2 linked regions of the Coturnix japonica genome follow. The protein of the gene in region 2 interacts with the protein of the main gene of each other region in a biochemical or structural test. Links are inferred from orthologs where the notes say so. Each region holds a gene or a part of one and is shown on either strand. Other genes may lie near its edges. The genes, in order: HOXB1 and PBX1.

What was found.
Region 1: the proteins of PBX1 (region 2) and HOXB1 are reported together in a solved structure, tested with the Homo sapiens proteins (2 studies listed by BioGRID and IntAct, with this or other methods). The link is inferred for Coturnix japonica from reciprocal best matches to the Homo sapiens genes PBX1 and HOXB1.

Annotation. Positions count from the first base shown.
Region 1 is NC_029542.1:3,236,938-3,241,336, forward strand, and holds HOXB1 (homeobox protein Hox-B1), read left to right. Parts: upstream 1-1,527; coding exon 1,528-2,131; intron 2,132-2,846; coding exon 2,847-3,172; 3' UTR 3,173-4,298; downstream 4,299-4,399. UniProt on the Homo sapiens protein: Sequence-specific transcription factor which is part of a developmental regulatory system that provides cells with specific positional identities on the anterior-posterior axis. Acts on the anterior body structures.
Region 2 is NC_029523.1:6,332,332-6,336,837, reverse strand, and holds the start of PBX1 (pre-B-cell leukemia transcription factor 1), read right to left. Parts: upstream 2,937-4,506; 5' UTR 2,635-2,936; coding exon 2,444-2,634; intron 288-2,443; coding exon 214-287; intron 1-213. UniProt on the Homo sapiens protein: Transcription factor which binds the DNA sequence 5'-TGATTGAT-3' as part of a heterodimer with HOX proteins such as HOXA1, HOXA5, HOXB7 and HOXB8. Binds to the DNA sequence 5'-TGATTGAC-3' in complex with a nuclear factor which is not a class I HOX protein.

The sequences.
Region 1 (4,399 bases), on a different chromosome or scaffold from region 2:
ATACATGAATAAATAGAAGCACAGCAGTGGAAATAGTTTCTTCTTATTCTTTTTATTTGGGGACGAGAGATGCAGTTGGGCAAAGCTCACTTTCTCTCTAGGGGACGTTTGAAGACGGGAGGAGGGCTGATGCTATTGCAGTTGCTTAACAAATGCCATCCCAACGGGTTGCATCAGCCACACCAAAGCTCTTGCATTAAAGAACGTGCTTATGCCTTTCAAAGTGAACTTTTGGCCCGATTTAAGGAGGGAAGAAAGAAAAAAAAAAGGCCCTCCTGGCTCTTCCTAGAGGCTGAATAACCAGTAAATATCCTGACAAGTAACAAATGACTGTGGGCGTCATATTGTTGGGTGCTCTTGTCTTCCCTTTGCTAACAAGTAAATAAATGTTGCCTACCTATGTTTCCATTCTCTGAGCAGTGGAGTGGCCGGGCTGAAGTCAATGCCTTTCCACCTACTCATCAGATGGGATCTGCTAGAGGGAATCTCCAGGATCACAACAGACTCAAGGAAAGGTCAAAGCAGGTTCGATGTAGGAAAACAGCCCCTAAACCCACCGGTTACAGCCCTTAAAAGCATCTCTTGTTCTCAGAAGTGGATGTGTAAGCAGGTCGGTACATGGGAGAAAGGATGGATAGAAAGATCGGTGGGGTTAGTAAAGAGACATATGTGATTTCTAGTTCCTCTGCTCCGATTGCTAAGCTGGGCATGGTGTCTCTCCAACAAAAGACATTCTGTCTTCCTAACTTTATTTCAACTCCTCATTAGAATACAGATTTAATTACGTTGCTTTCACCCATACTGGCCCTGCACACAAAGCCAGAGTGATTTTATTATTAATTAAGACACATAGAGCAGTTTTTTCGTAGGAGTTTTAGCCCAGGAAGTTCCAAATATGTTCAACTTTCAAGGGAGAGTTTCACAATGAAGAAAAGAGCATCCTTTTGTAGTTGGGGCTGTGGAAGGGAGGAAGCAGTCAGACCTCCCTACCTCTTTTTCCCTTGTCTTCCTTTCAGATGAAGCTAAGATCGGAGAAAACCTTTTATTAAGTTGGGGAAGGGGAAATTCTGCTGAATTTGGCTAACCACATCACTTGGGAGCCTTTTTAGCACTTAAAACAGTCGTAGATCATTCTAACTCTTCCCCCCCCCAGTCCCCTCTTCCCCATCACCTCCCCGCACCCCACCTCCCTCCTCTCTTTTTTAAGTCTTTGAGGAAAGATTTTGACGTATTCGTGTTGTTATCAGATTGATGGGCAGGGTTTGATTGAAACCCCTTTGTCATGTAAATGTCATCTCCTTGATGGATGAGCTCAGAGATGTGACAAACTTTAGGAGCCCCTCGCTCATTGGGCTGGGGGTGGACCACGTGGACCCCCCGCCCCCACCCAGGCCCCGCCGAAGGCTCCGGGGTTCGAGGGCCAGCGATGCATGGAAGGAAGTTTTACAGCTTTGACATACTATCTAAAGGTTGTAGGGCAGGCGGAATCCCCCCCAAAACAGGCTGACCCTCCTCCATCAGTGGCAGATGGACAATACTAGGATGAACTCCTTCTTAGAGTATGCAATTTGTAACCGTGGGACGGGCGCCTACCATCATTTAGAGCAAAGCTCCCCTTCCTTCCCCTCTTGCTCAGGTAGCCCCTCCAGTGACACTTACCATGGAGAAGGGCGCTTCGGTGCTGGGGGCAACACGGTCTCGGCCACCCACCTCCCCCCGCAGAGTCCCGGCTTCTTCCCCGCTACCTCCGGGCGCTCCGTGCCCTTCTCGGCCGCTGCCCCGAGCACCGGGTACCCAACCCAGAACTGCAGCCCCGGCTACGGGCACCACCAGCTCTACCTCGGCCAGCAGGACTCGGACGGCGTGTACTTCCAGGCGGCCGGGTACTCCTCCAGCTCCGGACCCCACCTTGGCCCCCTGGCTGATGGCTATTGCGGGGCCGTAGGGCAATACCAGCAGCAGCACCTTTACGGGCAGGAGCAGCCCGGTTACTTGCCTGGGGTTTACGGCAACCTCTCGCCTTCCCTAAATGAGGACAAAGACCCCGCGTGCCCCTCCGAGCCGTGCCCCAATGCCAGCTCGGCGCGGACCTTCGATTGGATGAAAGTGAAGAGGAACCCCCCCAAGACAGGTGAGTTTGGGGAGCGCAGGGCTTGGTGGGTGGGTTGGGGGGGGGTCCCCATCCGGGCTGAGAAGGGTGGGCGTGAAGGGGGGGCCGTTCTGTAGCCCTGATACGAAATGTTGTCTTCCTTGGGGTTTCTGCTCGAGGTAGTTGGGCTCCTTTGCTTGAGGAAGACATATTTTTACTCTTATTTTTCAGCTCTATAGAAAAAACAGCTAGCGATTTTCCAGGCACACCTGGCAGAGGGTCACTGAGCTCGCTTGCCCTAAGGCCCAATGCAGTTTAAACCGAGCTCCGAATAGGAAACGCTCCCAGTTTCCTGCTTCCTCCACAAAGGTGGTTTCCACCTCTCTCATTGTTCAACATCCTTCTCGAAAACCTTCCTTAAATCCGGAACTTCCCTCCTCTCCCCCGCCATCTTCCCCCTGTCCCCCCTCTCCCCCTCCCCTTCCATTCCCTCCCACGCACGTTCAAGTTTCATGGAACTTTGCAGGGAGCTGGGATGACTGCAAGAGAAAGGAGACGCTCTGCAGATCCCAGGGCAGCGTTTCCCTCCCGGTTTTGTGCCTGGAAAGCCAGGGGTGCTGAGGGGAGGCTGAGAGAGGTGGGGGTCCAACACGCAGCACAGGGGATGCCCACTCAATCAGACAGCCCCAGGACCCCCAGGCCCATATAGGGCCATCCTTCTGCTGCTTCTGCCCTGTTGTTTTTTTGCTCCTTACAGCTAAAGTGTCGGAATACGGGCTGCTGGGCCAGCCCAACACCATTCGCACCAACTTCACCACCAAGCAGCTGACAGAGCTGGAGAAGGAGTTTCACTTTAACAAGTACCTCACCCGGGCCAGGAGGGTGGAAATCGCCGCTACATTGGAGCTCAACGAAACCCAAGTCAAGATCTGGTTCCAGAACAGGCGGATGAAACAGAAGAAAAGGGAAAAGGAAGGTCTCGCTCCTCCTGCTGCTTCCAGATCCGGAAAGGAAGCGAGTGAAGCTTCGGATCAGTCCAACTGCACCTCACCTGAGGCCTCCCCCAGCTCCGTGTCCTCCTGAACCGCGGTCCCGTGGGACACAACGACCAGGTCGGGGCTGCCTTCGAGGGCTGCTGCCCCCCTCTGCTCCCCGCAGCCCCACCCGCACTGCCCCGCACAGCCCCGGCCTCACACGGCTTCCCTCCGAGCCGCCCCTTTGGCTCCAGCCGCCTCCACCCGTGCGCTGCCCATTCCCCTTTTGCCTTCCTCTCTTAATTTATAGACCCTCCGTCAAACGTTGGACTCCAAAGGAGCGGCCGTGTCCTCATTTATCCTTAGCAATAGGCGTTTGTCTCAGGGACGTTTCTCCCTTCTTCCCTTCCCAATAGGAACTGCACTTTCAACTACAGAAACTTGAAAACGAATTTAGTTCTTTCCCGTTTTAAAGATGTGCACAACGATTTTTGTCCGCACGCATCCTGAGTTTGCTGTATTATTCCTCCCCTCGATGTGGTTAAAAAAGAAAAGTTTGGCTTTGTTTCCCTTTTATATTTACTCTGTGTATCTCGGAAAGAGCCCAAGACGCTGAAAGCCTTTGGGAAGACCCGAAAAAGAAAAGAAACAAAGCAAAAATGCAACTCCTCTGCTGCCATTTTGCACTACCGCCGCTTGACAGGGTTTCCTACGCGCTGTCCGCCCGTATTACTGATCCTGGGGGTGGGAGCGTTGTGCTATCAGATAAAACGAGATAAGGGGAAGGCTGAGCCCGGGGTGCTTTGGACAACGGTCATTGCTGCACCGAGTGTGAACGTGCACGGGGTGAAGGCCGGGGGGGTTGGGGAGGGGTCCGCACTGCGCTCCCCCAGCCCCGACGCATTGACTGCTGTTTATTGGACGTCTCGATAGCCTCAAGTCTTGGGGTGAAGCCGCACGGCTCCTTGTATCCCCAGCCCCTTAGGTTTATCGGAGTCCGATAAAAAGAAACATTATTAACCACGGCCAGTTGTTACCCTTTGCCACCAGAAGCTTTAGCGCAGGGAGAAGTGAAAACCACGGCGAGTTTCGTTAAAGATTGTTTTAAAGGGATAAAAGGTCATCCTGAAAAGCCTGTGGTTTCTTAATCGGAATCTGTTTTCCCTCCACTCCCTTCCCCGTGCTCTGTTTTTCGAAATGAAGCTACCTCAGTTTAATAAAGTTTACTTTTTCCACATTCGAATCCTGTCGGCTCTAAGCGGAATGGCGAGCTCCCACACCCAGGAAAATGCACGGGGAGAGCAGCCGGGCTTGGAGGGAGGAGGAGGAAGGAAAA
Region 2 (4,506 bases):
CTCCACAATAGGAACTAAACCAAGCTATTCTCCCCGGCAGACACAAACCACATCAGTCGAGTCCAGCGCCAGAAGCACTGCATACCAGTGAGCTGTTTCTCCCCACTTAAACACTCCCACACACAAGGATCAGGGCGGGGGGGGGGGTCACAAACTTTGTGGAATAACACCTTCAAAGAGCAGAAAGCAAAACCAACGGCGTGGCTTCCCTACCTGTTTTTTCTTTGATTTCACACAAGACATTAAAAAGAGCCGGCTTCATCCTGTGGCAGTTTAAAGCGTGTTTCCTGCAGAGAAAAGGGGAAAAAAAAAAAGGGGGTGAGGTTAGGATGAGGTGCAGCCACAACTTCCCCAGACTCACAGCAGCCTGTTGGTGTGCCCCAAGGGTGGGGGGATGCTTGGGGTAGAGCCCTGCTAGGACCTCGGGGGTGCAGTACCGGAGCGGCCAGCAGCCATCTCCCCAGTGGAAAGGGAAGAAATAAGGCCAATTTTGAATGGCTTTCAATGCAGCATTTGCTACTGAGCTGCTCTCAAGGCAAGCAGCTCCCCGAGCCAGGAAGCTCAGAAGCCAGGCTTGGTTTAACTCTCATTCACACACACGCAGCACCGCGGCGGGCTACCTCCGTCTCCCACCTCCAAACTAAAGCCAGCCATGTGTTTCATCCTCATCCTGCATAGCAGAGGGAAGAAAAGCCCCCCCCTCCTTCACCTCCCCCCAGTGCTGAAACATCCTCTGCTGAGAGCTGTCAACCCAGGCAATTTCAGCGCCCAACTTGGAGCACCGACACGCACAGCCACAGGCACGCGCGCAGATGGAGAAATAAATCCGGCTCTCCGCACCCGTGCCGCACTCCTTGTGTGCACCCAGCTTCGTTGCAGGTGGTAAGGTTGAATTCCTTTCAATTGGGGCAGGAAGTATTTACAAAACACAGCCTGGTGCTGCTGGGAAGCGGTGGCACTGCGCTCTATGCGCTCTATGCTCCCTTCTCCAGGTCAGCGTTGCGGGGCTGGCCGCCCTCCGCCTGTAGGTTTGGGGCAATGGAGAGCTTTTAAGGGTGGTTTTACAGGTTTCACAGCCCGCTGGATGCCTGCAAAGCAACAACACGGGATGGCTGTGGGTTCCTCCTGCAGCCCTATGAGGACTCGGCCGAGGGCTGTGTGGTACGAAGGGCTGCTCTTAGCAGGCGCCGGTTACGGGATTTCTGTTTACCAACCGAAACAACACGCGAAGCCGATGTGAACATCTGGCAAACATTCACACCACTTCCCCCCCACCACCCACAACATGTTGGGAGAGATTTATGCGGCCGACGAAGCATCCCCAAAGGTGGATAAACCTCGCGGAGCCACGGTGCGCCCCTTAGCAGATGGGAGCAGGAACTGGGGTGCACAAATCACGTAGGGGCACCAGTGGGGCCCTGCTGCAAATCACACTGCGGGGAAGAGGCCGAGCCCCAAAGTTAAGGAGGAAAACAACAAGAAGTAAAAAAGCAGCAGAACACCCCTATGATAGCTGGATGGGTGCAGGAAATGCAAAGCCAAAGACCTCTGCTAAATAATGAGTGTTTGGCAGCAAAAAGTCTTATGAAGATGGTGCAGGAATTGCCCGGCGAGGCAAAACCTCACCACCTCTTAAGGCTGCTCGGGTCTGGGCAGCTGAGTTGGACCAGTGTGAAGAAGCACCCTAAATGCTCTTAATTCCCATAACTTCCAGGAGAAGAGAGCTCTCTCTGCCCTATAGATGGGAAGAAAGTGTGCTGCGTCGTCCTGCTCCCAGGAGCACCACCAGCAGTGGGGTGAGGGCTGCGCTCCCCATGCAAGCTATCCCGAAGTTGTGCTGTGCTTCCATGCCTTCTCCCAGCAGCAGGGGATGTTGTGGCACTGCACCCCTCGGCCTCACGCTGGGTGAACTCTGAGTGCACCCCAACAAGGCCGACCGACTCTTTAATTCCCATTATTTACCCCTCAAACCCTGCCTTTAAGTTGGATGGTGTTTTCTTCTCTCCCCAACTTTCGCTCGCACCCCATACCCTACAGTTTTTCCTTTCCCTCCTTCTCTAAGAATACCCTGGGGTTTATGGGGAGGGAAATAAGAATAGGGTAAGGAAATTAAAGGCAGAAAGGCAGGCGGTGCGCTCACCCTGCCAGCAGAGAAGCACGGCCTCGCCAAGCCGGCGCTGGGCCCCGCCGGGCAGCGGCACCGCGCTGCGGGAGCGAGCGGGCTGCGAGGAACTGCCCCAAAGTTACAAGAAAAGGAGGAAAAATTATTTCCTAACGCCCACTCCGATGGAAACGAGGATGGGAAGCAGCAGCCCGAGCCGAGGGGAGCGGGGAAGCCGCCCTCCCGCCGCACAACAAAGCCGCACAAAGGGCTGCGAGCCGGGCTGCTCTCCCCCCCGCCGCCTCCCCCCGGTAAAGTTCCCCGCGCCCGCCCTCCGCTCACCTGGCCTGCGCCTCGTCCAAACTCTGGTCCGTGATGGTCATGATCTGCTGTAAGATGTCTCCGATGTCCTGCTTCCTGCCTGCCTCCCCCTCCGCCCCGCCTGGTCCATCCTGCATGTGCTGGGACAGGCCCGGGTGGCCCGGCATCCCCACCCCGCTGTGCGTGTGCATCAGCCGCGGCTGCTCGTCCATCTCCGGCCGCCGGCTCCCGCTCCGCCGCCTCCCTGCTGGCTGCCGGCCGCGGCGGCTGGGCTGCCCGCCTGGCTCCGCGCTTTCTTTTCTTGCTCGCTTTCTTCTTCTTCTTTCCTTCCCCCCCCTCCTCCTCCCCGCAGCCTCTTCCTCCTCTTGGCTTTTTTATTCTTATTATTATTATTTATCCTTCACGCTGCCTTCCAGCTCGGCGGTGGAGAGGAAAAGGAGGAGGAGGAGGGAAAAAAAACGCGCACACACACACACAGAGACAGAGAGGGGAAAAAAAAAAAAAAAAAAAAAAAAAGGAAAAAAAAAAAGAGAGAGAGAGAGAGAAAAGAAAGGGGAAAAAAAAAATCCCTTTGGTTGCTGGAGGAGGAGGAGGAGGAGGGATGGAAAGAGGGAGGGAGGGAGGAGGGAGGGGGGGGGTTGGGGAAGGGAGGGGAAACGGCGGCGACTCCGAAAGCAGGGCAGCGGCGCGGCCCGGGAGGCGGCGGCGGGGGGCGGGCAGGGCGGGCAGGGCCGGCGGGCAGCGGGCGCCGCGGGGCGGAGCGCAGCGCCGAGCGGAGCGGGGCGGCCCCAGCGATGGCAGCGCCGCGGGGCCGGAGCTCGGCGGGAGCGCGGCGGGGGTGGGCTCCAAACTTTCCCCCACCCTCCGCGCTCGGCTCCGCGCCCGGCAGCGGCGCCTTCCCCTCCGGCCGGGCCTGCACGCGGCGCTCCCCACCCACCCCTCACCCCGGCCCTCGCCTCCCGCTTTTGTTCGGCTCCGGACTCCTCAAAGTGGCACGGAGGAGCCCGAGGAGGAGGGACGGAGGCGGGGGGGGGTTGGCGAGGAGGAGGGAGGAAGGGGCAGCGGCGGCTCTCCGCCCCCCCGGCCCCATTGGCGGCGGCGGAGGGAAGGCCGGCCCACACGGGCCGCACCGCCCTCCCGGCGGCCGCCCGTCAATCTCCGGGTTCAGAGGTGGGCCGGGGGCCGCGCCCCGCCCGCGCCTTAAAGCGGCCTCGGCCTGGGGCGGGTGGGAACGAGCAGCGCCGCGGTGCGGTACTGCAGGCCGGGATCCTTCCTTGGCCTCTCGGGCATCAACGGCCCCGGCTCGCAGCAGCTCGGCCCCGCCGTCACCCCCGGCGCCTCCCTGGTCCCCCCACTCCGTGCCTCAAGCAGCTCCTTCCTTCTCACCTCAGCCATCCTCATCTCCTCGCTGTGCTTTATCTCCTCCACCGACCCACGAGGTCCCACCGGTGGGGCCTTCCCGTGCAGTGAATCCGTGCCCCCCATGCCTCCTGTTAAGGTTGGAAAAGACCTCTGAGATCATCAGGCCTGGTGCAGTGCCATACACCAGACCAGGCAGCCGTGGAGGTGGCTTCCATGGAGGTCTGGTGGTCTCAGCTGTTCTCTCAGCACAAGGGAAGGCCCAGCCCCAGTCCCTGACCTCAGCTGAGGTCGGGGATGGAGCCATCCAGCTTATGGGAAAGATAAAAATAATAACAACAAGGCAATTGTTTTGCTTCTGCCCTTCCTTTCTAATGAAACGCTTTCCAATATTTGAAGCAAAACACAGCTTTCCACTTGGAAATTTCCTCTCAAGCCGCTCGGCTGTTGTGAAGCGGTTGAAGGCAAAGCGAGATGTTTTGATGTTTGTCGCTGCAAAGCGTTTCACTCGACACGTCCTTTTTGTTTCTTGGCTTGCCAATGTTTTTCATCAGCTTTTCACCCGCGATGTATCTATGTCTTTTGTTGTTGTTGTTGTTGAAAAGGCCAAAAACGAGGAGAAAATATTCAGTATCTCCATGGCTGCGCAGGAAATGGAACTTCATCCAAGGAAGAAAGAGCCAAGGACTCCTCTCCAAAGGCCCAACCTTTCAGACACTTAGTCA